4 linked regions of the Oreochromis niloticus genome follow. The protein of the gene in region 3 purifies or fractionates together with the protein of the main gene of each other region. This does not show direct contact. Links are inferred from orthologs where the notes say so. Each region holds a gene or a part of one and is shown on either strand. Other genes may lie near its edges.

The links. The genes of interacting proteins can lie anywhere in the genome.
Region 1: the proteins of mphosph6 (region 3) and exosc8 purify together in Homo sapiens (affinity purification with mass spectrometry; 4 studies listed by BioGRID and IntAct, counting the BioPlex papers as one, with this or other methods). This does not show direct contact. The link is inferred for Oreochromis niloticus from reciprocal best matches to the Homo sapiens genes MPHOSPH6 and EXOSC8.
Region 2: the proteins of mphosph6 (region 3) and exosc3 purify together in Homo sapiens (affinity purification with mass spectrometry; 6 studies listed by BioGRID and IntAct, counting the BioPlex papers as one, with this or other methods). This does not show direct contact. The link is inferred for Oreochromis niloticus from reciprocal best matches to the Homo sapiens genes MPHOSPH6 and EXOSC3.
Region 4: the proteins of mphosph6 (region 3) and exosc6 purify together in Homo sapiens (affinity purification with mass spectrometry; 3 studies listed by BioGRID and IntAct, with this or other methods). This does not show direct contact. The link is inferred for Oreochromis niloticus from reciprocal best matches to the Homo sapiens genes MPHOSPH6 and EXOSC6.

What each region holds. Positions count from the first base shown.
Region 1 is NC_031975.2:15,850,844-15,858,395, reverse strand, and holds exosc8 (exosome complex component RRP43), read left to right. Parts: upstream 1-4,538; 5' UTR 4,539-4,624; coding exon 4,625-4,641; intron 4,642-4,990; coding exon 4,991-5,027; intron 5,028-5,121; coding exon 5,122-5,185; intron 5,186-5,266; coding exon 5,267-5,340; intron 5,341-5,434; coding exon 5,435-5,480; intron 5,481-5,573; coding exon 5,574-5,679; intron 5,680-5,786; coding exon 5,787-5,832; intron 5,833-5,923; coding exon 5,924-6,020; intron 6,021-6,152; coding exon 6,153-6,273; intron 6,274-6,395; coding exon 6,396-6,502; intron 6,503-6,984; coding exon 6,985-7,103; 3' UTR 7,104-7,215; downstream 7,216-7,552. Other genes in the region: alg5 (dolichyl-phosphate beta-glucosyltransferase), read right to left, coding at 756-907, 1,000-1,059, 1,176-1,289, 1,401-1,493, 1,630-1,698, 2,365-2,411, 2,597-2,765, 3,730-3,792. UniProt on the Homo sapiens protein: Non-catalytic component of the RNA exosome complex which has 3'->5' exoribonuclease activity and participates in a multitude of cellular RNA processing and degradation events.
Region 2 is NC_031966.2:9,765,280-9,771,852, reverse strand, and holds exosc3 (exosome complex component RRP40), read left to right. Parts: upstream 1-4,007; 5' UTR 4,008-4,093; coding exon 4,094-4,318; intron 4,319-4,656; coding exon 4,657-4,806; intron 4,807-4,937; coding exon 4,938-5,089; intron 5,090-5,191; coding exon 5,192-5,399; 3' UTR 5,400-6,059; downstream 6,060-6,573. UniProt on the Homo sapiens protein: Non-catalytic component of the RNA exosome complex which has 3'->5' exoribonuclease activity and participates in a multitude of cellular RNA processing and degradation events.
Region 3 is NC_031972.2:1,932,316-1,940,320, forward strand, and holds the start of mphosph6 (M-phase phosphoprotein 6), read right to left. Parts: upstream 3,015-8,005; 5' UTR 2,866-3,014; coding exon 2,818-2,865; intron 2,065-2,817; coding exon 1,952-2,064; intron 1-1,951. UniProt on the Homo sapiens protein: RNA-binding protein that associates with the RNA exosome complex. Involved in the 3'-processing of the 7S pre-RNA to the mature 5.8S rRNA and play a role in recruiting the RNA exosome complex to pre-rRNA; this function may include C1D.
Region 4 is NC_031972.2:7,647,206-7,653,235, forward strand, and holds exosc6 (exosome complex component MTR3), read right to left. Parts: upstream 2,063-6,030; 5' UTR 2,015-2,062; coding exon 1,737-2,014; intron 1,186-1,736; coding exon 639-1,185; 3' UTR 515-638; downstream 1-514. Other genes in the region: aars1 (alanine--tRNA ligase, cytoplasmic), read left to right, coding at 4,430-4,573, 4,744-4,932, 5,526-5,671. UniProt on the Homo sapiens protein: Non-catalytic component of the RNA exosome complex which has 3'->5' exoribonuclease activity and participates in a multitude of cellular RNA processing and degradation events.

The DNA of each region.
Region 1 (7,552 bases), on a different chromosome or scaffold from region 3:
ACGAAAATTTAAGTGATCCCAAGCCTTTTTCACCCTTCAACCACAAAGAGGATGGCTCACCACTTATACTATCCTTCCAGGGTTTAGTAATACATTGAGCAGTTCTCAACACAGTTATATGTATGTATATATATATATATATATATATATGTGGAGAGAAAGGGAGAGAGAGTATTTTCTTCTGTGTTCTCTGATCAGAATAAATACTTTTACACACCGAACACTTAAAATCTGTGAAAATATTTTATGGCTTAAAAATATTTTTCCGAGCCACCTATCTGTGTAATTTTGTGAGTTGGATCTGCAGCATTAATTTCTTTTCGGACGAAGTTCAATTTTTTGGGATTTGTGAATAAAAGGATCTGAACAATCACACCACTGCATTTGGCAACAAGCACGTTCGCAGCTCAAAAAGCGCACTGTACTGAATAAACAATGATGGGGAACTAGTGAAGTAATACTATTTTACCTCACAGACACACAGCTAGACTTTGCTCCGGGTCAGTCGGCTCTCTGAAATTATTTCTCTGCCCTCTCAGATGTGGCTTCAAAATTTAATTTGACTTTTTCACAATGCGCTCGGTGTGTAATGGCCTTTACACTAAATTGTCCAGCAATCCCTTTGCTAAACATATGACAAATTGGTTAAGATTTGCAAATTTCTGCTTTTAATATAGTCCAGGTGAATGCACATTAAAGCTAATACTTTAAGCTAAGACATCATCATGTGCCAACAGTGGAGGCTGATTCCTTACCATCGCTCTACATGGAGAGAGGAGAAGGTCTTGAGTGCAGCCTCACGTGTGAAAAGCTTGAAGCCACACTGAGTGTCCTTGATCCCCTTCACGCAAAAAAACCACACCAGGAAGTGGAAGCCATACATAAGGAACGTACGAAACAAAGACCGCTGCAAAGACACCAAAGTGTGGTCATTTACTGTTCTGAAAAATAATTTCGAACACTTTTCTTTTTAAGCAGTATAAAATAAAACCCTGTTACCTGAGCTACAGAATCTTTCTCTAGGTGAGCTCTGGATCCACATGAAATTGCCATGTTCTCCTAGACGTGAGAGCAGCACATGAGGCATTAGGCTTGGCCACATTTTAACCACTTTTACACACTTATATATCTAATAAGTGAAACTGAATTTAAAACAGAACAGAACACCATCACACCGGTTTGGGGTTGAGGTCATTGAGTCCACCCTCCACTTTCTCAATGTCAGAAAACTTTGTGGCTCCATCAGCATCTGCCATCAAAATGACTTTCCCTCTGGAGCTCAGAGTTCCCTTTAAAAGAAAAAGAGATAAAAACAAAACAAAAAAACCCAAAGTCAGTTCCAAACTGCTGCTTTAGGGTTCCCATTTGGACACACTGTAATCTCACATCTACAATCTCACCATCCGCACAGCTCCTCCTTTCCCTCTGTTCTTCACCAGCGTCAGGACGCGCACTTTATCAGCACTGTACTTCCTAGTGTACCGCAAAGCAACCTGCCAGGACAACACAACAGTGTCCACTCATGAAACCGATCTATACTGGTTGAAAATGTTTAGCTGAGCAAAACGGAGTTGTGCTAAAATAGAAGGTCTGGTTACATTTGCCCCAAAAAAGATTTAAAATTATTACCTCTGTGGTTTTGTCTTTGCTGCCATCATCCACCACGATGACCTCATAGGTAAAAGAGGGGTTTTGTTTCTGCAGTCAGAAGAAAAAACAGACAAAAAAAACAAACAAAAAACAGGAGAGACTTGTTTCACAACAGCCACTTTACCCAGATCATTGTTGCCACCTACTGGTAAGTCTGAGAATAACATATCCAGCAATATATGTTTTGTTTTTTTTTTTTTAATAATGAACATTATCCATCATCAGTGCAGACAAAAAGGCACTAACATCAGTTATTCAAGAAACCTATATACACAAGGTTGCAGAAAAAAGGACCCAGTGACCAAAAAATGTAAACAAATTATAAAAAACAAAAAAAACAAACTTGAACTGTATCTCTGAAAAGGTGTGGTCACCTTGAAATAAATTCAAACTAATGAACAGAACAAATAATTTAAGGGCTTTCTTGTCATTAAAATTTTTAAGCCATCTGTTTATACATAGTTTAGCTTTAAAGTATATACATTTATTAACTAATAAATGTTCCTAATAAAAACACAGTCCTGATAACAGTCTTTCTTTTGTTTGCTTTTTGTGTGTCAGATTTTGATTATAAATAAATATCCCAAATGTAATTACAGTTACTGTTAAATGTGGTAATTGGATATCCGGTGATACATTTTGTTTTATATGCTTTTAAATGTGCTGCTTTTTACTGTAAATATAATTACGCTTTAATTCAGGCTCTGCACTTACCTGCCTGTTCTCCAAGTACTCCATAGCTTCATCCATCATCACTGGTACTGAAGGGACACAGTAACACACATATAATAGCAAGTACAACCTACTGCACAGTGACATGACGTCTGACTGCACCAACCTGGATGGATTGCACTACTAACGCCTAATGAAAACTGACTATTTACAGTGTGTGTCTAATGTGGGCATTCATAATGACTGACTGAGCAGAAAAGCAGACTTTACTCACATCGGAGCTCCTCGTTGTAGGCCGGGACCACCACAGAGAGCTCCCTGGAATGGGGATCATGTAGACTGGGGAAGAGCCGCTTCTCTCCGGTGGCGGTGAGAAAGTGTTTCTCCTTCTCATGGCGTGTCAGGTCCACCATCCCTGCGGTTAAGTGTGCTATTACGAGCAACTGAAAAGTGAGAATTGCATTTGATTTACAATTGAATCTTTCTACAAATGTGGTGCAGTGATGCGTTTTGGCCAAATATCTCCAAAGCACATTGTTTCACAAGTCTTGTGGTTTGTTCAGATGTAAGACTGAAAACCTACGCTACGCTCCCATGTTCTTTTTAGAGAGAAGACCTTAAAAGACTTTCTAGACTCATGAGAACCACCAATTGCTTCTCTAGCACAGAGAAGCAAGTTGATGATGAAAGACACAATTGATGTCTTTCCTCCTTGGCATTGTGTTACCCCACCCTAGAATACTCCAGACCAGAAAACTTCCTTCTTTTTTTTTTATAGAGGTGCTCAAACTTGCTGATCATTACTTAATAGCAGGCACCTGACTGCTAATTACTCTCTGCATTCCTATGTCACATTTTGTAGTTCATCTGAGGTTGTATTTACTCAATTTTAAGATCTGCTAAGGACGAGATTATTTTTTATTATATCCTAAAATGTAAAACTTTAGAAACTGGTCTATATCTAAAAGAATGCGAGCAAATATGTACCATATGTTTCATATATGCTTTCAATAGTCAATAGGACTAACGCTCTGAATAAATACCAATCAATACAGGATTTATTTACAACCTAAAGATCCGGTATCAGCCAATGTCTAGTTTTTCTGAATTAAATGTTGCTCCTTTTCATGCTTATATTACTTACGAGATATTTTTTCTGCATGACACTTGACCCCTCTGTTGCTTTAGAGCAGAATGAAGAGGAAGTATCATAAAACTGAGGTACATGAACAGGCCTGTAAAAGTCTACAAGTGGCCCGAGTCAAACACAATGCTCAAGGATAACTTGGAAAGTTTTGAAAAGTACAAAAGGAAAGATACCCACGCTATCACTGTAACTGTATTTGGGCAACTTCTCCCAAAACAACTTAGCTACAGCATCTCTCATCCAAAGCACTGATTACTCACCACGATGAAACCTACAGCTGCCAGTGCGACGAGGGCTTGAACTATTTCACAGAGGAAATCCATTTTCCATCAGGTTACCTACCCTACACCCACTGACAGACAGACCACCTGCAGGGGGCTAGCTCAGAAGCTAGCTGGCTTTCTCCTTTCCCTTCCTTTATTGACACACAGCCTGTGTTCTAACCTCCTGGTGTGTCCAAATATATGTACCAAATTACGACCTTACGATATTATTCAGAAGGTTAAAATGTTTAATATGAGTCCTTATGTTTCCATTGCTGTGAGGACACTTCACCTAACTCCACTTCCAATCACAACTGAACACAACGACGATGCGGAAGTAGTGACTGTTTTTTCTCCCACATCATCATATTGGAGCAGGAGAACAACGAGCGGCACAGTGCCGCTCGGCGCTGGGGCACACTGCCTCATAGCGGACAGGGGTGGAAATGGTGGCAAGGACTCTCTCTTTAACATGTACATAAAGAAAAAAAGGGAGGTATAATGCTAGGAAAAATATTAGCATTTGTCAAAGCATTAAAGACTTTTCTTCTAGTCTACAACATTTTGTTGTAACATTTATGGAAAACAACAACCTGCATCCCAGTCCCCCAATTCCCTAAAGGTCATATTTTGGACAACGACCTCTCAAAAATTATTTTGTAAAATCTATCGGAAATGTTTCCTGAAGATTTCCTACAAGGTCCACAAAAATATAAAAAGCAACTCAATAAATGGCTGGAGTTTATTTACTTGCAACTAGATTTGACCAGAGACGTCTATGGACAGGTCATGATTTGGTTACAAACGCGTTTGGTTAAACTTTGGTTATGCGCTTCTTCCTACCCGGCTACCGTAGGTCATAGCGCAAACCCACGTGGTTAATCAAAACATCATGGCGGCTGGCTTCAAGTAAGAATATACAAGCTCTCCGTTCTATGTTTGGGAAAATATCACTTTTAGTTTGCTCTGTTTATTTTTTCCTGTACTTACCAGCGGAGTAAATGCATATTTGGTGTTATAATAAATTAAATTATTTATTACACAAAATAAAACGAAAATACCGGACATCATGCATGTGACAAAGAGCGCACTTTATTCATTCTTGTGTCACAGCTGTAGTTTATGACTGGCTCAGATATTTGTCATTGACGTGTATAGCATGAGTACTCGGTCACTCTCTTCGCTGTGCTGTTTCTGAGTGAGCTTCTGATGTGTCGGTGCTGTGGCTTCCTTTACCGCGTTCCCTTTTAACTTGCAGGACTGCTGAGCCTCTGGAGTACCACCGGAGCTTTCTGGTCAGTGTTGAAAACAAGTTCATCCCACACGTGACAGACAAGTGTTGCTCTCTGGATGGATATGAACTGTTATTTGTTTCTCGTTTCTCTTTAGAAAGAAAACTGTCGGCCTGATGGACGAGAGCTGACTGAATTCAGAACCACAACACTGAACATAGGTGAGACTTCCCCACAGTGTGTGAGTGTGTGCGAGGTTTCTGTAACCTACATAGGATTTTTTATTTTATTTCCATGTTTAGGGTCAATTTCTACAGCAGATGGCTCAGCCCTGGTGAAGCTTGGAAACACAACAATCATATGTGGAATTAAAGCGGTAAACACATTTGTTTTTCCTTTTTGTTGTTTTTTTTATTTAGTGAGTGTGGGCCAGGTTGATAAGTACTCACTTATATCTCCCCCTCCTGCAGGAGCTAGCAAACCCTACAGTGGAGGCACCTGGTAAAGGCTACATTGGTAGGTGTAGTAAGAAGTCTTTGTTTTCTCCCATTCTTTCTTTGTTAATTATCTGATATCATGTCATTCAAACAATGATCGCATCTCCATCAGTGCCCAACGTGGACCTGCCACCCCTATGTTCCTCTCGCTTTCGGCCGGGACCACCGGGAGAGGAGGCCCAGGCTGCCAGCCAGTTTATCGCTGATGTCATTGAAAGGTGCCCGACTTCAGTATATGTTAGCTTTTTTTAAATGTTTATTTTAAATGAGTGATAGTTTTTAAACCTGGTGCTGGTTTAACTAAGTTTTTATGTGAATTTTTCAGCTCTGAAGTGATAAAAACAGAGGATCTGTCCATCGACAGAGGAAAGGTAAACCCAAGAGTCACGGGGCTACACTGACATACAATTTGACCCTTAAATATCCAGCCATGGGTACTAAAACTGCGGACTCTTGTTGCAGCTCTGCTGGGTGCTGTACTGTGACCTCATGTGTCTCGACTATGATGGGAACATATTGGATGCTTGTGTTATCGCACTCTTGGCTGCTCTAAAGAACAGTATGTAAATTTCTACTGTAATGTAAATTTTAAAAAAAGTCCATGTGTCTTAACTGGTAATAATGGAAACAAATCAGTAGTTCTTCTTCTTTAAGCAGTACATGAACTTAACAGTATCCTGGCTCCTCACAGCACGACTCCCAGAAGTCACCATCAACAAGGAGACCTCTGCACCAGAGGTGAATTTAGAAAAGAGATGGGAACTTCAGATTCACAAACATCTAGTCAGCGCTTCTTTTTGCATCTTTGATGAGTAAGTTAGTCTAGCCATTATATATATAAAAAAAAAAACAACAACCCAAAAAAGAAATTTATAATCTCTATTTTTAAGTGACATGTGCTTCTTTTTCTAATCCTGGCCTAATCTCGCTGCAGTTCCATACTGATTTCGGACCCCACAGCTGAGGAGGAGACTCTGTCAACAGCACACCTGACGGTGGTGACTGATGAGGATGACCGGCTCTGCTCTGTGCACAAACCAGGTGAGGAATACGTTTGAAGCGATTTGCCTTTCTAGACTGCATGGTATGTGGCATGAACCTAATTTGGTTGAAGATATTTTAGGCTTATCCCTTACTGCAAGAGCCAAAATCTGCAACTGATTTGCCAGTTTTAATGCTAATGTCCTTCCTGGCATGACGCCAAAGGGGATTTATGTTTCTAGTAGGGGTAGAGTCAGCGATCCTTTGTTTGCTTGCCAAGAAAATGTGTTAACCACTACACTATGGAGCTACTCCTTTAACCTGATTTGGCATTAACACAAAAAAAATGTCCTCAGAATACCCCTGTTGTATGAATCAATGCATGTGTAATAGTAACACCAACATAAACTGACGGCTTCAAAATGAACACTCAGGTTAGGTCAACAGAAATAAAACAAAAAGCAAAAAACTCAAAAATGCCAAAAAGACATTTTTAACGTAACTGGGAAATACTGTTCTATACATTGCTACTTGTTGCTCAGGTGGGACATCACTGTCAGGAGAGAGGCTGCAGGAGTGTATCAGCCGAGCAACAACACGACAGAGAGAGATCCAGAAACTCATTGCCAAAGTTGCACACAGTGTGAAGAAGGCACAATAATGACACTCGGACGATGCTTTTTTTTTATCTAAAAGCTGTATTTTTCACTGTCAATATATATTCTTTTTTTTTAATAACAATAAAACTGCTGACAAAGACCGCTTTAAAAAATTATTTCTCAGTGTCCGGAAATGTCTCACACACACACTCAGTTGATGTCTCGTAAGAATACGCTCATGGCTCCTGTACTAATTAAAAGGAAATGCCTTTTCAAAATGTGCTGTACAAAAGCAGGTACACCATCTTGCATGATGATCTTGAGTCCTCGTTTGAGCCCTGTGCTGGGACTGCTTAAGAGAAGAAAGACTTCCAACAGACTGAGAGGTAGAGAGCTGCCCCCAGGCACAATTCCAAGATCAGATTTGCATTTCACATGTAACGGTTACACAGGGAGGATTTGGTGTCGGTAAGCTCAGTCGGGATCCGTGCTTAAAGGGCAGTTTCTACCT
Region 2 (6,573 bases), on a different chromosome or scaffold from region 3:
CTAATTGGTCAAGGTCATGTCAATCACAAATGTAACAATCCAATCAAAGAACAGATGGGTTTGGCTGTCGGAGGGGCGCTTTTTTGAACTGCAGGTCCTTGAAAGGTAATACAGTTTGAAGCTGGAGGATCTCTATATAAATATCCAATAGAAGCTAGGTCCCCTAACCCCTATCTATTTTTATTACCCATAACGGTAAAAAAAAAAAACCCCATCCCAAATCTAGATCTTTAAAGACTTGCAACTTGAGCCAACCTTTAAGTCTGTGCACAGCTCTTTGAGTAATCCTGTTAACAGACCAACCAAACCAGTTACAGATTATTTATTTTTATTCAGATGTGATTTTCTGAGCCTTGGGAGTGATCTTTCTTTAACATTGGAGTGTCTCTAACTCGTCCTCTACGTGCCACCCCTCTCACTTCAGTTGTAGGTTTTAAATAAGGCAGTCTGAGACTGTTTGCCTGCTTCCTCGGGCCCGGATCGGAGCAGATGAAGGGCCGGTGTTGTAGTAAAGTTGCATGTCCATGTGTTCCAGCTCCGTATTGCAGCGCGTCGTCTTCGTACGGTGTGAATAATCTGCTGTTAGATCCACAGCACTAAAAACTCTGACGTCTTTGTTTCCTTCGGATGTGACTCTTCGTCTTCATGAGGGACGGCTTCATAGCAACAAGAACAAGTTAAGACTTTAGGCAACACGAGTTTAACTGTCAGGTGTAACACTAGTGTTTGTTTTCTCTGCAGTACGAAGTGGTTTGTAACATTGAAGAACTTTTTCTTTGGCTCTGGGTTGTTTTTTTATATTTATCATTTCTTATGTATATTTGTTTTTTAAGAAAAATAATAAAAAAAAATACTAATAAAAAGGAAAATTTGAATCTGTGCTTGGTATTTTTGTTGACTTTCAAGATCTGTGTGTTATCATATCAGTAGGGAATATGATTGACAGATTAATCGTTTGGCCTCCGAAATGCCCGAAAATATCCAACAAATGGTCCCACATGGAAATGTATGTACACAACCTGACAGGACATGTTGGTGGTTATTTTTCTGTTGATCTGAACAATAATCTGTCTTCTTACCCTTTTGTGACACTTTAAAAAAAATTTTTTAGCCAAAATCCACATACTGACTGGCCGATTTATTAGGTACACCTGTTCAGCTGTTAACCCGTTTCAGATGAGTGCAACTCTAGACATGAGCAAGACGACCTGCTGAAGTTCAAAGTGTGGATCTGGATGTGGAAGAAAGATGATTTAATGGACTCGTGATGTGGTTGTCCGTGCTAGACAGGCCGGTTGGGTCATGTTGATTTCAAATGACCTGACTGCCTCAAGCCAATACAAAGGCTACAGCAACCAAAGTACAGAGGAGAGCTCTGAACATGTTGAAGAAGATGGAAAAATGACGCCCGGTCTGATGAGTGTCAATTTCTGCTGGTAGGATCAGAATCTGGAGTGAACAACATGAAAGCATGGATCCATCCTCCCTCACATTCACAGTTCAGGCTGCTGGTGTAACCGTGCAGGGGATATTTCCCTGGTACACTTTGGGACCTTTAAATGCTACAGTCTGAGTATTGTTATGACCACAGTGTACCCTCTTCTGATGGCTGAAAGCAAAAGCGGGTCCAGCCCGGTTCCGGTGTCAGGCCTACTGATATCTTCTGTCATTGTACCAAACCTACTTCCACCCCTACTTGTTAGGAGCTTTGGGCCCCTTGTTTATATATGAATTAATAAGTTATCATTTTAAGAAACATCAAGTTGATGTTCATAGAAGTACACACATACACACACACTATTGATTACCTACACACATCAGATATTGATAACCTTTAACTGACCCCTGATCTCCTAACTGTTCCTCAGGCCTGACTCTGGGATCCTCTCGTACTCGCTGTCACTTTCATCCAGTTCGCTGTCCTATATTGAAACAATGTTAGGGTCTGATGTTGGATCAATGTTAAATTCTGATTCTGATTTTCCACCAAGTTTGCACCCTTGGATAATATTGAAGCAACAATACAATCATCATTAAAAACCAACAGGACTTCACAGGTATTTTAATCAATACTAAACCACTGCAAATTACCATCAATACCTGTGAAAAAGACAATTGTGTATGATATAAAAAAAAGATAACCATTATCTGTTAAGCATTATGTTACAATTTAACATAATGTAAAATTGTAACATTGTAAACATAATGTTACAATTTAACACAATGTAAAATTGTAACATTGTAAAAATAATGTTACAATTTTAAATTGTAACATTGTAAAAATAATGTTACAATTTTACATTATGTTACAATTTAACATAATGTAAAATTGTAACATTGTAAACATAATGTTACAATTTTACATTATGTTAAATTGTAACTGTTAAGGGTGGTGAGTTAGCGAACCCAGACGCGAACCTCTCGTTTAAGTTGAACAGTGTCTTTATTTACAGTGAAGCCAAAACCAATCCACAGTTATCCACAGTGCAAGCCCCTTCAGTGCTCCTCTCCCCGTCTCCCCTCGTGTGTCCACAAAACTCCAGAGAATCATTGAAGTCTCCCCTTCCGTCTCGTTCGCTTCCAGGCTTGGTGCAATACTCCAGCGCTGTCTGTCACTCAGCCACACCGTTAAATAGCCCTGCCAACGATGGTGGATAATTGGCAGTAGCTGGCGACGAATCGGTCGCAGGTGAGGCAGCTCAGAGCGGCAGCACTTCCGGGTCTGAGGTCTTCCGTTGCTACGCGACCGCGTGACAATCGCAGCGGAGCCGGAGAAAAAGCAGAGCGAGAGAGAGGAGAACAAACACACACACAGGTCGACCGGTCGGGGCACCGTCCGACTCTGACAGTAACATAATGTAAAAATTGTAACATTATGTTTACAATGTTACAATTTTACATTATGTTAAATTGTAACATAATGTAAAATTGTAACATTATGTTTACAATGTTACAATTTTAATGTAAAATTGTAACATTATGTTTACAATGTTACAATTTTAATGTAAAATTGTAACATTATGTTTACAATGTTACAATTTTACATTATGTTACAATTTAACATAATGTAAAATTGTAACATTATGTTTACAATGTTACAATCAGTAGTGGTTTTAGATACGGGCGACACGGGCAGTTGACGGGGCGGCATCGTGTTGGGGGGCGGCATCACGGGCATCGGCAAAATAAATAAATAAATAAATTGCTCGTACTCATGCTGCCCCGACATCAGCCAGCGCATATTGGGAATGGCATAGGCACCGATCGGTTTTCTATCGCCCATTTGCTGGGAGTAAGGGCGCCCTCCGTTTGCGAGGTGCGCCTGCTTCTTGCAGCACAGGGAGGAGAGGGCGGGGCGGCGGGGATTCTCTGGCTGGCTGGAGCAGCATCTAATACCAATTAAAATGTACAGTAAGTGCCATTAAATGCACAAAATGTAACAACTAAAGAATCATTAATTATATAATGTGACATAACTGTTTTATTGTAAATTAATTTAGATTAGATCCTCTGTTTGTCTACATATTTATGTATTTATTTACTTCTTTATTTAGGTGTACAATGATCTTCACTGTAAATGACACTTTTTTTCTTGTAAATTATAATGTTACTCTTGGATTTTTGTTTTTTCACTGTTTATTTAATTGTTTGTTGATACAATTGGGACTTCACTGTTGAACCTTTTTTCTCAGACTCATCCCTATTTTTTTCGTTTTTCTTGTCTTTCAATCTACTGTCATACCAAAGTATCTGGAGAATAAAATAACACTATAATAATGTATGATTTTGTTCTCAATTTATAATCACTTTGTGATTTTAAATAACATATTTAATAAAGAGACATGTTAAAAATGAGGTAAAGATCAGTCAGACCTGGTAACAATGATTTGGGTCACACATGTTTTTGTTTTTTGTTTTGTTTTGTTTTTTAAATCTACCAACAAATTACTGGCATGTTTGGCAGCTTGTTGTAATACCTCCCGACTGACAGAGGGCGCTGTTGGGTGTTTCCTGCGTGTCATGCTGGGTTTTTTTCCGGTGGAAAACAACAACAACCTGTTGGAGGAGTTAACGCTGAAGAATAGGCGGCAGCATGTTTTCTACCGTGAGGGAAAGGGTTGGGGAGGTGCTGTTACCGGGGGACGAGTTCTCCTTCGAGGCCGAAGAGAAAATTTCTCTGACGGCGCCGGTGAAGTCGGAGAAGGTGGTGTGCGGTCCGGGCCTGCGGCGCTGCGGTGACCGGCTAGTGGTGTTTAAGAGCGGCGTGCTGCGACACAAGGAGCCCAACGTGTTCTGGATCGATTCCCAACAGAGAAGGGTGAGAGAAATATTAGTAAGATAACGCCAGTGTGAGTTTCTGCTAACATAATTCATCGATAGGCGCTGGTTTTCTGCTCTCTGGATGCTCGTTCATCTAGAAACCTGGAAGCGTGAAAAGTGTGTTTCTCTCAGTGTTCAACCCCGAATTAATCACAGCATCAAGCAGACCTCCGGAAGCTCTCATGTTTTGGTCTGAAACTTCCTCCTGCAGGTTAATTCATAAGTATACAAAAATTTAAATGGAGTCTGGCAGTCTCCAATGGAAGTGCGCAGTAAAGCTGCGTCGGAATGTAAAGCAGTGCGTGCTGGGAGCTGATTATGTCTCTTTATCCTCAGTATGTCCCAGCTAAAGGAGAGAGCATCATCGGGATCGTCACCGCCAAATCTGGAGATGTCTTCAAGGTGGATTTCGGAGGGAGTGAGCAGGCGTCTCTGTCCTACCTGACATTCGAAGGGGCGACCAAGAGGAACAGACCCAACGTCCAGGTATCCAAAATCAGACTGGAGTTTGGTGTGCAGGGAACTCTAAATAGAGGTAATCCACCTTTAGGTTAAAGAGAGCCACTGTAATGATTCCCCCTCTCTCCTCCCTGTGTGTTTGTGTGTCACCTGTACAGGTGGGTGACCTGGTGTTTGCTCAGTTCCTCATAGCCAATAAGGACATGGAACCAGAGCTGGTGTGTATTGACAGCTCAGGACGAGCCAATGGGATGGGAGTGTTTGGAGCAGGAGGTCTGCTATTCAGAGTCTCTCTCGGCCTCGTCAGAAGGTAACTGAGCCACGGCGCCCTCTGCTGCTCATGTAATGACACCAGCATTTGTGTTTAGGATCTTTTTACCTCAGCCTAAACATTACTGCTTCCCCTCTTCAGGCTGCTGGCACCCCACAGCGACATCCGCTCAGACCTCGAGCAGCTCTTCCCGTGTGAGCTCGTGGTCGGGATGAACGGACGCATTTGGGTCAAATCGGCCACCGTGCAGCAGACGCTGATCATCGCAAACCTGCTGCAGAGTGCCGAAACCATGACGGCTCAGCAGAGACAGCAGCTGTTCAGGAAGGTCCAGCAGGGGGCGTTCTAGACGACTTCTGACCTCCAGCACATGGACTGAACCAGCAGAGGCCACACTGTAGACCACTTCAGACCTGAGTCCAGGTGTAATGCTGCAGTGATGTCACTCCTGGGCTCTGTGACATCACACTGAGCGTGGCTGCAGCTGTTCAGTGTTTAAAGGATCATTACATGTTTTCACATGGAGCTCCAGTCTGAACATTTTTGAAAAGCAGATGTTAAAGAACCAAAAACCACAAACATGACAGACTATCAGGATGAAAATAAATAAAACTGGGGGGGGTAATTTTAAAAAATGTATAAAAATGTCAAAATTATAAATGTTCAGAAAAGTTGATGATTGTCCAAAGAGCGGCTCCTTCCTACAATCCTGGAGCAGTTTGGTGACAGTCTGTGCCTTTTTCACCATGATGGAGCACCACGTCACAAGGTAAAGTGATCCCTCAGAGTTTCAAAGATCTGCAAATTAATATCTCAGATCCAGGACCAGAAAATTCCACAAGTCTTAATGAGATTGAGAATCTGTGATCAGCTGGAGCGCTGATGAGGCAGGAATGGATCTCCAGTACATTACGGAGATCTGTAGAGGTTACAAAGAAGGGTCAACTCTGTAAATACTAACTCTGTGCATACATTTGATTTATTTGCCAATAAAAGCCTTTGAAATTTATGAATTGCTTTGTTCTCTATGAGTTGGAGACATTTAAAAAAAGCTGAAGCACAATTTTTTGATACTGTCAAAACTTTTAGTCATGATTGTTTTGTTTTTTTCTCGGCTCCAAGTCCAACATGAACAGCTCGGCTTCCTGATGGCAGACACAGCAGCAGCAGCAGCAGCATAACTGGAGACACTGAGTGATAAAATTTTGTATTTTCATGATTCCTTTAGATTTTCAGATAGTCTGAAGTTGATAATTGTCCCCGTGTTGATGAACCCAAAGATGGGATCAGGATCAAAATTAGAAATGAAGCATAACGTGCATTTTCTAAATATGGATTTAATTTGTTACTTCTGGTTTTTAAAGGGGTTTAAATTTAAGTGTTAAGTAAAAGTTTTGTTTTTAATTATTTTTTTATTCTAAATAACTTTGTGGATGACCCTCAGCATCTCTGTTGACCACCAGGGGGCGGTGGAACGTGGCAACACATAAAAACGAAAACAAAAGAAAATAATTTTTTAAAAA
Region 3 (8,005 bases):
GAACACCTCCAGAATAACATCATCCGCCTCCATGATCACATGACCTCTGACCCCTAAAGACTTAAAACACACTTCACTGTGTGTTCAGACTAGAGATGGCACAATACCACTTTTTTATGTCCGATACCGATATCATAAATTTGGATATCTGCCGATACCTTAATGAATCCGATATAGTGTGTTTTTTAATCAATAAAACTGTTTTTTAATATCTTGCTGCATTTTGTATAAGTTCATACTCAAGTTTAAATAAACAACAACACTAAAGCTATTCTGTTATACCTGTATGTAAAAAATACACTGCACCCAAAATATTTCATAGTTCAGCAACACTGATCAATCTAATAAACTTAAACCTGCTCCATCCTCCCTATTCTGGTATTTTAAAGAGTACTTAGCAGAAATATTAAGCAACCTAACTAACAGGGTTGCAAACTCCCAGCAAAAAAAGAAATAGGGAACCACCCCCCACCCTCCACCTCATGATGCTTAATCGATGTAATCAACTTTAATTTGATGCAGGGTGAAAAAAAATGCACAGAAATAAATTATTTTTCAAGAATAATTAAATAGATTCAACATCTTTCTTCTACAGAACTGCAGACTGCACAGATGGTACCTTCCCAAAGGAAAAAGTACTATAGCTTACTAGGGTATATTAGACTTAACAGTTACTATATACAGTAATGGACTTCTATACATGTTACATCAGATTAAAACTTTGGGTGTAAGATTCAGATAATTATTTATTAAAAGCTAGACATTTTAAATGAGAATAAGAAAGAAAAGTATGTCTTTGTGCCCCCTTTTCCCTGTTCATGCCCCATCGGCCCCCCTGGCTACACTTTGCTAGATCCGCCCCTGCACAGTTACCAGCCGTCAGCTACGTAGAAAAGGATCCTGGTGTAGAAAGTAATATTAAATACATTCTAACAACAGCTTATCAAGGTTAAACGTGCTGCTGTTGTTCCGCCGCTGGTTTCCTCTTTCTGGAGCAAAGTGGGCCAAAAACAAAGAAGAGAGACGGACTCGCGACAGAAAAGCCAATCAGCTGATCATCATACCGAAAAGCACCACTGAACGACACAGGAAATCATTCCTGCCTGTGGCCATCTCCCTGTACAACGCATCCACTTAACACACTGGCTACTGCTACAACTACATGTTTCTTTCCAGCTATTTATTAATGTGTGACTTATGTATATATATACACACATATATATACACTATATATATATATACACACATATATATACACTATATATATATATATATATATATATATATATATATATATATATATATAGTACTATTCTTAGTTAGCGTGTTGTCTGTTTTGTTAATGTTGGTTTATAATGGAGCACTGTAACAAAAAATAATTTCCCCCAGGGATCAATAAAGTATTCTGATTGATCAGTTTCACGATTGAAGTAGCAGCAGGAGAGGGAGGGAGAGAGGCAGTCGCTCCATATATCGGTTGTTAAGCTTAACATGGGAACGCTTTACAAACATTCAGAGATGAACTTACACACTTGCTTTCTTCTCTCTGGGATAACTTCCTCGGAGATGAAATGCTGGTTTGGTAGCGAGGCTACAAATACACACAGCTGCTCTATCACGTGATCACACTGCTCCGACGTGCTACGGTTATGAGCCGAGTTACGCCGTGTCGCAAGTTTTGTGAGGTGTTTTTTTGATATTTAATGGATCGGATTACATTTTTTATTTCTCTCCGATATCCGATCCAGTAATTTAGGTCAGTATCGGACCGATACCGATACGTAATATCGGATCGGTCCATTTCTAGTTCAGACTTCAAACCAGACTCCATTCAGAAAACTGCACATTAAGCAGCTGCATGAAAAAAAGTCCTTTAACGACGGTGCGGTGAGGCTGTTATGCATTTTGCTTGAATTAAAGTGGGCGGAGCCTGAATGGCGCTCATACATACTCTTTAGCCTTGAGCTCAGGCAGGTCCAGGTACCAGTGCTCATCACTGATGATCCTCCGCTCGTCCTCCTCCAGCTGCTTCTTCGTCTCTGCGTCCAGACGTCTCTGCATGAACTGTGGACACACACACACACACACACACACACACACGTCACCTTCAGCTGACGTTTCTGTGAGGTTTTAACCACACCTGCTCTCATGAATGATGATTTTACTGCACTCAGTTGTGATTGGCTGAGATCTGCAGAGAACCACAGTTGTTTCCCTCAGTGTGAAATCTTCCACATCTGCAGAACAGATTTTTAAAGTAAAGGTGAAAATCAGCAGAGAGGGCTTTATTCTGATTGGTCAAAGCATCAGGCCGCAGAAACATCTTTTCCACGCTGGTTCAGCCTCTCCAGGAAACAAACCAGCACCCTGCAGGTTATTACCTCCCCCTGGACGTCATATCAGACTCTGATACAGTTTTTAAAGCATGAATTTCAGCCGTCGTTCCCATTATTCGTGACGTAACACAAATACTTGAGCATCCACACGGGTTCAGATTCGCATCACGTGAGAGATCATTTTAAAGTCAGAGTTTATCTTTAGAGTCTCAGACTGGCACACATTATTTATTAATAAATTACATTTACAGCCTGTTATTAACTCTGCTGCACGCCGATTTACTCTCTGGGTCACACCCGACATCCGGTAATCAATTTCAACTTCTATTTACGATTTAAAACTTCCTGTGAAGCAGAAAACCTTAAATTATCAGGATTGCTGAGTGGAGTTATGCGCCGGCGCATTACAAAGCTAACGTTCTGCTAGCTATCGGCTGCTAGCTGCTCTCGCGTGTCCGTTAGCACGCGCAGCTTCACTTACCTTCATCCGCAGCAGATTTTTGGACAGCTTCACCGACTCACTCGCCATCTTCAACCCAAGAGAATGCGGCTAACCGAACTGGAGGACCCTCGGTGCTGCACACCGAGCTAACGCCACGCTGAACAGAGGCAGAAAGAACCGAGCGCTGAACTGCTTCTCCAGCCCTGCTAATCGAGCTCTGATGTGCAGCCCAGGGGCGGATCTAGAGAAATTTTCTTAGGGTGGGGGGCAGTGTTGCCAACTTAGCGACTTTGTCGCTATATTTAGCGAGTTTTCAGACCCCCTAGCGACTTTTTTTCTTAAAAAAGTCGCTAAAAAAAGACGTGAAAGCGCGTATCGCTTTTACTCTCAACAAGCAGCGGGTGCTGTAACACAGTCAGTTCTTCTTTTACTCTTTTACTCTTATGCTGTTTTGTGGATCACAAGGTTTAAAACTACTTATAAACACACACACACACAAAGTAACTCCACCAGAGTGCCTATTTCGGATCACTTTTGCCGGTCCAAGCCCGGGTAAAGGAGCAGGGTTGGAATTGTGACATTAAAAAAAACAATAATTGCTAAAAGAAATTTAATTTGTAGTTCTAAATAAACTCTAAATGCATTTAGGACGTTTTTACTCACTTTATGTCTCTTCCACGATGTTATTTCTCTCTCCAACAACATAGGTTACAATTATATTAGCATGACCAATTATGCAAATTAGGTGATGACTTCATTTAGCGACTTCTAGCGACTTTTAGGACAACCAATAGCGATTTTCCTTACTGAGGAGTTGGCAACACTGGTGGGGGGAGCTGGTAGTGTGAGGCTTGCGGGAAAAAGCTGTCTTGCAGTTCGGAGGATTGGGCCCAGATGCTGTGATTTTTTGCGCCGTTCCGTGGCGCAAAAAAGGTTGGGGACCGCTGATCTAAGTGACTTATATATTATGTTTAACCTGAGTAGTGGGGGGGGGGTTGAAAACGATGTGCTGGGAGCCGCGCCTTGACTACCCGGTCAGCTGGTGGGTAACAGGCATCTCCGAAAACGTTGGAGCACTTTTGCAAATATGTGATGGCTTCATAAATCGAGCAGATATTTGAAGTTTACACAGCGCCATTCATCAAATATCTTAAAAGTTTATTTTGTGACCCAGAAAGAGTAATATTTCAAACTCCGCCACTGCGCGTTCCTCTGCCACTGCGTTTGAGTTTTGGATGAAATGCATTCTGGGATATTTGCCTGGGTTTAGCTACAGCAGCCAGTGAGCTGATTAGAGACCAAAACAGCCAATCAGAATGTTTTCCATCCAAGTCTGTGATTGGCTGGTTTTGTGGCACAATTATAACGGTGTACAGAAAGAGTTGAAAGCGCACAGGCAGAAATGTTGAGAGCACAAGCAACACATTGTGAGCAAGCGCAAATGCAAAAACTGAGCGAGCGGGGCTGCTATTGTGTGTGTGTGTATGGATAATAGCAAACACTGAAATACATTTTTTGCACGCAGCAATGAATTTTGTTCACTCAAATTTAGCTTTTCTTAGCTCAAAATACATTTCTCCTCAAAATGCAACACTTGCACCTGCAATTTTTTTTTACGTGTGCTCAAATTTTTTTACGTGCGCTCAGAATAGTGGCACAAAAATAACGCCATAGATTACCTGGATGACTGAGCACGCATCACCACTGAGCAACAACAGTCAATTACTTTTCATAACTCCGCAAACCTCTGATGTCAGTGTGTGTCTGTGTGTGTGTTGCTGTTTGGAGACATTAATCATTTTATGTGGTCACATTTTGTTGGACCCGCCTCCTTCTCGAGGTGTGACGTATGGCGTATGGAGATTGGTTGAAAGTGACCTATTGTTAGAGCAGCTTTGCATGATTTACAGCTCAAAATAATCCTTCTTTATCTGAATCTGGCCCTGGGAACTTCCTTTCAAAGTGGAATAAAGAAAATTTGTGTTGTATTTGTATTTGTTGTAACTTCTGCTGCCCTCTTGGAAAACAGACACTTGAAACCCAAACACCATTTCATGCTACATTATCCTGGAGCCATCGGAAAATTGGGCCCATAGTTCATTTCTGGTCTGTGCGCTTTGAGGCAAACTTGGATTTTTCTAATGAGTAAGTCGTGTGAATTGCAGCTTTTGGAATATTTGTAAATCCCAGGCCTACAGACACCAAATAATGATGTGCTACACTCTTTTTTCTGACCTTGACGTTGGGCCAGGAAGCACCAGACTGCTCGATTCGCACATGATTTTGAAAAAGTCACAAGTGGATTTGAGGGAAGTTCTGTTTTCACACAAGTGTTTCTGCCATCCTGGATTAAGTACAAAGGTACAAACTACAGGCCGGGAATGACACTATTATCACTCTGAAGATGGGAACCTGTGCTGAACTGTTAACAGCACAGTGACGGTACAGTCCAATGTCACAAACAGCAACCTTTGAAAGACTTTGTATTTAGTCTTTTTTTATTGCTCAGGGGATAAAGTGATTATTTGTATTTTAAAGGATTTGAGCTGTAAAAAAGCTGATGTGCTGATTTTACACCACCTACTGAACTGCAAACCGGAGTTTCTTCAGACAAAGGAGCAACATTTGTAAGTTCAGCTATGCCATCAGGCTTTTTTATCCATGTACATTCATTTGAATGACAATTAAAAATGAGAAATGTTATCTTTGCTTTAACTTTTGAGCATATTAAAACGATTCGTTTCCTGAAGTGCTGTGTGGCAGGCAGGATGTAGGACCCAAACGCGGGACTCGGAGACAGGAGGATTAACGACAAGCAGCAGCTTTACTGCTGCAGAACGTTTGAATATAAAATACAAGAAAACTAAACTAGAAACTCCAGTTCAAAGTAGAAAACACAAACACGACAGAGAACCAGAGTGTTACTAAGCACAGAGAGAAACACGGACAGGACAACGAGAGGATGGGGACAGGTGGTAACACACCAGGGACACATCAGACCTAACGAGACGAGGGGACGCATACCCACACACACTGCACCCAGGACAGGGACTATCAAAATAAAACAGGAAACACACGACAGGCACAGGGGCACGGCCGTGACACTGAACAGAGGGAACACGGAGCACAGGGACGGCGTGACAAACTGCCACAGGACACAGGATATGTAAGTATCCACTCTTCACTGGATCCACACAACAGCAATTAAAAATCCTGAATACTGCTCAGTTTCTCAGTCAGTGTACTGAAGAGCATTGATTATTAAAAACATACAGTGTGTAGCACATCTTTTAGGTAGACACATAAATAATGACAACTGCTGCAAATTTACTGAGAAGTTGTCCAAAATGTTTGTGCAACTTCATGACAGATTAAAGTGTGTAAAACATGATTGTGGACCATGGCTTGGATCTCCTAACAAACACCGGTCTGCTTCATGTCGAGCGTGCTGTTGGAGCTCATGGCTCCAGGTTTAAAGACGACTTGACAACTGCAAACATTTTTTAAATCATATTTGTTTCTCTTTTTTTCAGGATGTGTGGTTCAGCCCCGGCAGAAAACTCAGGCCAGCAGCAGGATTTCTGGAGGAACGTGTACGCAGTGTCAGGTGAAGGCTTCGTTCTGGCAGGAAGAAGAACTCAGCAGCACAGGAACGCCAAAAACACTGCCTCATTTTGTCTGGTACTAGAAGATAGACTTGCTTCTGAAGCCCCTTCCTTTTTGCAGCGATCTAAGCTTTTATCATTTGAGTGCTTGGCCTTCTATCTTTGGTTTGAATTTATTTACTTCTGCTTCCCACAGAACCAGAACAGAACAACATCTGGCTCAGGTTTCCCGACACATGCTGCAAACTGCCATCCACAGAGCAACGTGGACCCGGTCAAACGGGACGGTCCCACTTCAGCAAATTTTCACCCCGGGCATGCTGAGGTCACATCTCATGGACTAAGGACCTGTTCAACACTCAGAAGTAATACAATGTGTAAATGTACAGTGTACAATTACAATACAAATCTTTTTACTCAAAATATTTTTATTGAGCGATTGTGGATAAAGCTTACAAAAAAGAAAAAAAAAAACAGAAGGGAAACATAAAAACTACTTACACTGAATACAAACCAGGACTCTTCACATTAGAACATGGGTAAAACTGAGACTAACAAAACATTTCCTTGCAAACCAACAGAAGTTAGCTGCAACAATACCAATCTAATCATCAAAATAACATCACACCACCCAGAACAGATGTTAGTGTCACACGAGAAAGGCTGAATTTGATTGAATTTTAAAGCTCAGGAACCAATCAGTATTTTTGTCTTTTGTCAGATGTCACAGGATTTCACAGGATTTCACAGGATTTCTGTGTGACTCTTCTGGGATCCTGTTGTTCTTGACAAAGATCATGCGCATGGCCAAGAAGGAAAGGAGTGGTGATCTTCTCCAAAACACTGGTTTGCTCCCAAAAGGTATTTCAGAAGAAATGTTTCTATTTGTTTTTCTGCATTGACCTTTTTTACTTACTGTAACATTTTAACCTCAGCTTACAGACAGGAAGGTGACGTAGCCCTACAGCTGCTGCCAGCACTCCTCCCTGCTGCACCTTACAAAGTAGGAAGAAAGGTTTTCAGGAACCTGGAAGTTGAGAAGGCCTTTACTGATATCCAGCCTGTAAGTCAACATTCATTTCTGATATCATGCTCAAAGTGTTTGCTGTGTGTCATATTCAGCAGTGACGGTTTGTATCAAACAAGAATCTGTTGAAGTTTTGCAGTGAGGTCTGCACAGCTCTACCTTTAAATCCTCTAACAGCCGGCTTTATGCCTCATCCCTCTCCTTCAGGTTGGGATAAACATGGGCTGTATCCCAATTCAGAGGCTGCATCCTTGGAGGACCCGGCCTTCGGTCTCGTGGGCCGCGTCCTCCGAAGACCGAAAAGGCTGGAGCACGAGGCTTGTGAACTGGGATGCTCTAGCCTTCAAGTCACCAGCTGTACACGCCCGTACCACTTCTCCCGATCAGTGAAATGGAAATGCGGAAAACATACCCGCTACTCTCGTCTTTCTTCTACTTGAAGAGCGACAACAAAATCAGTCGTCACAGACGAGTGATTTTCCTGTGACTAAGACATAACAACGTTCAGGTACATTGAAAAATACATGTATTCATTTTTTTTCTCCGTTCATAATAATAATAATAATACGTGTGTATTTGAAAACAGTTTACTAGC
Region 4 (6,030 bases), about 5.7 Mb from region 3:
TTGTCTTGACATGTTCATCCCAGATATGTTACAGTCTGCTGGAACCTCCAAATAACATTTTGCTTGTGTGATGAATAAAGGTAAGTACAAAGCTTGAGTGCTGCAGCATGTTTGTGGTAAAGATAGTCATTAACCACAGCCAGATTTCACTAAAACATTAGGGTGCCCCCTAATGGTATGAGGATGACTTGTAGAACACAAAATTATGTTGACACAGATGTAGCCATACCTTACCTGCTCTGCCAGGACACAAGACAAGGACAAGTTTAATGGTTGTGTAATTCTGTTTGTGACAGAGGGTGTTGACAAACTTTTTGTGACCAAATCCATCTGTAATTATATTGCATATATTGCTTATATGAGGCTATTTGCATTGCCAGAGTTCACCTACTAAAAATATACCAGTTGAACAATTTCTCTCCAGTGTTGTGGGAAGCATTTAGTGTCAAATCCCAGGGAGAATATACATTATTTAACTGTCTATATTTAATGAGGAAATGCAAAGAGGCGAATCTCAGAGTGAATATTTTTCTTTTAATATATAAACTAATACCACACATGGAAAAATAGATCATGTTCTTTACTAACGATTGGAAATGATCTACAGGAAAAACTAAACGGAGGAGTTCGTGGTTCACTCAGCTCTCTGATTGTGATGGAGCAGCTTTGCGCACAGCCTTTGTCAGGGCACGCTGGATAACTGGGTACAGTTTATAGCATCCCTCAATACAGGTCCTCACCCCAGCGGTCAGAGTCTCTTCAGTCATGTCTCCATCAGACTGCAGTCCAGAAATCTGGTTCAGGCTTGGGAGGAATGCGACAGTCAGACCGCCCTGGTTCTCACAGCTCACTGAGCTGCAGCCATTTTCCTCCATGTAGGAAGGGTCAACCACATAGGAGGTGCCATCCTGGCGCATGGAGCAACCGAGCACCAGATCATACATTTCGATCCCCGCATCTGCAAGCGCAAGAGAGGCGCATGTGACGGCATGGGCCAGAACTGAACCGCTGTTCTCAAGAACCATCACGCTGACCTCGATCTGAGAGCGAGGGTATTTGTGGAGACATATGGCGGGCTGCAGGCTCTCATGTAACATCAGGGAAAAGTCCTTGTCCTGACTCCCCTGAATCCAGGAGCCCCTCTCCGGGCAGGAAAATGGAGCAAAGCGCATGTCAGTAGTCAATCTGGACACAGAGAAAAACAGTTGTGGTTGAGTCTTTTTTTTTTTTAAACTCTCACAGATATCAGTGTCCACTTCAAACTGAATGCTTTATGGTATACCCACATAAGCTCAGTTTTCTACCCAACTATGGTACTAAATAACAGTTCGCAGTGAAAGTAATGCAAAAACTCTTATCAAACACAAGGAGTTGCCTCTTTGTGAACATTTATGATTTATGGATATGTCAAAAAGCATTTTATTCCCCTAAAAAAGTGCTGCATTTGGATTAAGTCAATAATGTCTCCAGCAACTGTTTTGGGCAAAAGTTAACATTCTGTTGCATTTCGATTGTTTATGGGGTTTATTAATGTTTAGACTAGTTTTCACGCATGTGTAGTTTAGAACAGTGGTGGAAATAAAGAAAACCCCAAAATGCTGCTGTCCATGTAAGACACAGCAGGCTGTATTTTTATTATGACTTCACAGTTTAATCATCAGAAACCTATGTCTTTGTTTGTTGTGTTGTTAGAGCAGTCAATATGCTTAAAGATTTAAAACAAACAAACTCCATACCTTCCACATTTCATATCCGTCTCATCCTTCCGGTCTGTTTCTCTGGGGCCGTAAACGCAGCACATCAGCTTGGTGTTTCCAGCCTCTAAGTACGCGGAGCCTTTAGCTTGGCTCACCAGGCCACAGCGGACGAAAACGGGCCGGACGTCGACCTGATCCCGCCGCCGACCGTCCGCTCTGGGCCCCTTCGAGGGCAGAACCGCCGCCGGATCGCACGAAAACAGAGACGGGCTCTGAGACACTTCTGGACCACGAACACGTTTGGTGTCAGTCGGCATGTTGAAGTAAATGACCCAAGCAACCGGTCCCGCACGAAATCTCTTCCCCTAGAAACATAGCATGCGGGAGAAATGCTTCCGCTAATATACGCACACTGAAGGATATTACATCAGAAAAGCGAAATATCGAGTACGTACGGATGCAGCAATATTTCATCATTATTACTAGTCAGTTCCTCTGCCATAAAATAACAGTCACAAAAAAGTGATACATGTTATTGATCAAGGACAGAATACAATCATTTCTTTTAAAAATGTATATAAATAAATAACAACATTAGTTAAAAAAGTTAGAATACATGTTCGGCTCGACTTGAAACAAAAGCTGGAATTCATTGGGCTTGCGGACTTTTCTCACATATTTCTCTACATCAACTAATATATTTAAAAACGACAACAAAAATCTGAGCTGACACCGTTTTAGTTGCATCAGCCAAAGCACGGAGGTTTGTATCGCTGCCGTGGCGGGCTCTGTTAAGAAGGACAGTAGATTTGTTCAATAGGAAAGCAGATTCCTGACGTTTCTGTGTAGCCGGACCAATTGGAGGCTGTCGTAGGTGTGACCGCTGGTTGTGCTTTCCTTCTGTTTGAGCAGCGTGGAGTGAAGGAGAAGTACCTGATTCATTCTGCGGGAATAGCGGCTTCTGTGAGTATTTTCATGTGTTTAAATGTAGTTGAAATAAGCTATCTTCATTGTACTGTTCAGCAGAATAGCCTTTCAGTTAGAGCAGTGTGCCGAACTGTCTATCTCAGCCTGAGTGCAGGGAGGTAGCTTGATTAACTGGCTAACACATTAGCCTGCTAACGTCAGATCAAGCTAGTGCCTCTACCTAGAATAGCAATTATAGTCAGCTGACTAGCTTACATTGCAGACTGTCGGTTTTTGGTAGCACTTTAAGAGGAAATATGTTGTATCACATGACTGTCACAAATTTGTGTGGTCTGGAAGTTTATGTTAGACTTGCGAGATTAAGTTCACTGGTTTTGTGCCATGGAGACAGAGAACAGGGCTGTTCCTGTCACTAACCTGAAAGATGGGTCCAGTATTTATCATCAACCTGGTCTCCGTCTACCTGTTCTATGATTATATATGTCCCTATTTTGTCTTGAAAATGTACCATTATTTATTTCTCAAAACCACTGGGCTAATACTTACACCCCACGTCTTTTCTTTCTCTGGTTGCCCGCTAAATGGTTTGTTGTCAGGATGGGGACATGGGCTGTTTGTCATCCACTCCTTATTCCCAGAAAGCTGAAAACACCAGCTGAGGTTTCCTTTGGCAGTTAGTTTACACCAATGGGAATTGAGCTCTGCTGCCTTTTAATTATATATGGTATCACATTTTTAATGAAATATGTGTACTGCAAAAGTCCAAATAAAGTGCTTTTGTTTCCATTCTTACCTAAAATTGGATTTGACTTCATGGTTTAAGATTAGAGCATTGTGCGCCTCACCTGTCTTACTGGATTCCTGAGCTGCTGTTGTTTATGAGGAGAGCCTCAGGCCAATTAGCTGCAGCTAGGTTAACAGCCACACCGTACAAACAGACTTAATTTTAAGCTTTTGGTGTGGAGTGGTAAAATCAAAACATGCATGACACTTGAATGACCGATAAACAATTTCATAATGTTTTGATACTTTATGGACAAAGTCATGTATTTTCTGGCCAATACTGGACGGTTCTTTAACCAGCCTTTAAAAGCACTGACAAGTGTATAATTCTTTTTTTATTATATGGGATTGCCTTGAATGACATTTTACTACCTAAAAAGGAGCTACTTCAACAGCTTCCAACAAAGCACATTACTTGCATTTAAAATATGACAGAAAATTGTACAACCCCAAACTTATGCACCAGCCTTGCCAGAGCTCTCGCTAGTTGCAAAGTCATATGACAGGAAGAGAAACCCATGGGAAATTGCTGATGCTGTTAATTAAGGCAGTGTTTTAAACAGCTGGTTAAAAAGCTTTACCCAAGATGTGACACACACACACACACACACACACACACACACACACACACACACACACACACCTACCTACCTACCTACCTACCTACCTACCTACCTACCTCTTCTGTACTTGCCAAATTAGTATTTGGATACAAGAGCACTAAGAGTGTACCCTTAAGGTGACTACTGCCTGAAAGGGAAGAACAGGCCTTAATTGTGTTTTAATAACTTAGTAGAAAAGTTGCTGTTACTCAGACCAAATAATCATCCACCTCTCTAAATGGGACCAGTTTCTATGGGTTAAATTATCCTTCTGTCTTTGACCTGGAACAATTTAATTGGACCAAGAATTAACTAAAAAAAAATCACTGGCTGCATTTGGACAAGACCTCCTTAAATGTGCTTGATAGCTAAAGTGTTTCTTTTCTCTGTGTGTAATTTTGTTCACAGAGCTTCTTCAGAATGGACTCCTCCTTGAATGCAGCTCAAATTCGCCAGAAGTTCATTGACTTCTTCTGTCGCTATGAGCACCAGTATGTTCACTCTTCATCCACCATCCCCCTGGATGACCCCACGCTGCTTTTTGCCAATGCTGGCATGAACCAGGTACACACCATGTCTTTCCCAGCACTGCTTCCTACACCATGGCTTTTTTTTTTATGTACCCACTGATTCACAACTTTTAGAATAGGCTCAGAAATCAGATCTAGCAAACTTTCTTGAAAAAAATAATTTTTTTCTCAAGATTTTTTGTTTTTGCACCTCATTTCCTTTAGTTCAAGCCCATCTTCCTCAACACTATTGATCCATCACATCCCATGGCCAGGCTGCATCGTGCTGCCAACACCCAGAAGTGTATTCGTGCAGGAGGCAAACACAATGATCTGGACGATGTGGGTAAAGATGTCTACCACCACACCTTCTTTGAGATGCTGGGCTCCTGGTCCTTTGGGGACTACTTTAAGGTATTACATTTTTTTCATCCAATACATCAGTTTAACTTTTTTGTTACTTGTATTTTTAGTCTTTCCCACAGATTTAGATCATGTTTGTGGAATGGTGCTCGAGTATACACACACGTTGCTGCAAGCGCTTTCACCATTTATAAATTTCTCCTCTGCAAATATTTTGTTTGCCAAGTATTTTGTGACAAATGTATAACTGGGCAGCATAATCTGCTCCCTCTCAAGTCAGTCTACAACTCTATAACTTCTTTGTCTTGGACAGTAGCTGTTCAGCTTTGTAGTACTGGTGAGCTCATTGTAGAGGCACAGGAAAAGGGCACTTTCAAAATAAGAATGAGGGAATTGTTCGCTAGTATGGAAAAGGAGATAATTCTAATACAAAAATGCTTGAACATATGAGCCTGGACCTCATCTCATTCTTTTTATATTTTTGGGTAAAGTGGTTAAAGTTGATTTATGTGAGAATCTTGCTGTTCTCTCCTTTCTGTCAATGTTGCTTGTTATATTACAATGACATATTAATTATCATTATTAATGGACAAGACGGTGTCTAAACAGCTCTAAATTGTTATTGCATCATTTTTGCTCTGCAGGAATTGGCCTGTAAGATGGCCTTGGAGCTGCTGACTCAGGAGTTTGGTATTCCTTTAGAGCGCCTGTATGTCACCTACTTTGGAGGTAATGAGGATGCAGGCCTGGAGCCCGACCTGGAGTGCAAACAGATCTGGATGGACTTGGGGTGAGTGAGCCTTGGGAGCATTGACTGTATGTAAAAATAGATAAAGCTTGTGATGTGAAAAGTGAAACCAGTTTGGAAGTGCCTTAAACCTGCAATCTTTTTAATGGCCAGAAAGAGGCGGCGACATTCCAAAACAATGTCATGGTCTGTGGGAAAATGGACCTTGGTTGCTTTAGTAAACACTAGGTTTCTGGGACCTATTCCAGGAAGCAGGTTTAGCTAACAACTCTTGAGTTTATCAACCCTGAGCTGAGGAAAACTGTGGGTCTAAAAAGAGATTAAACTTCAACTTTGAGTTACAGAGGGTGTCAAATGTAAGGGTGGCAACAGTGATTACTTCATGAATTTATAATCCAGTC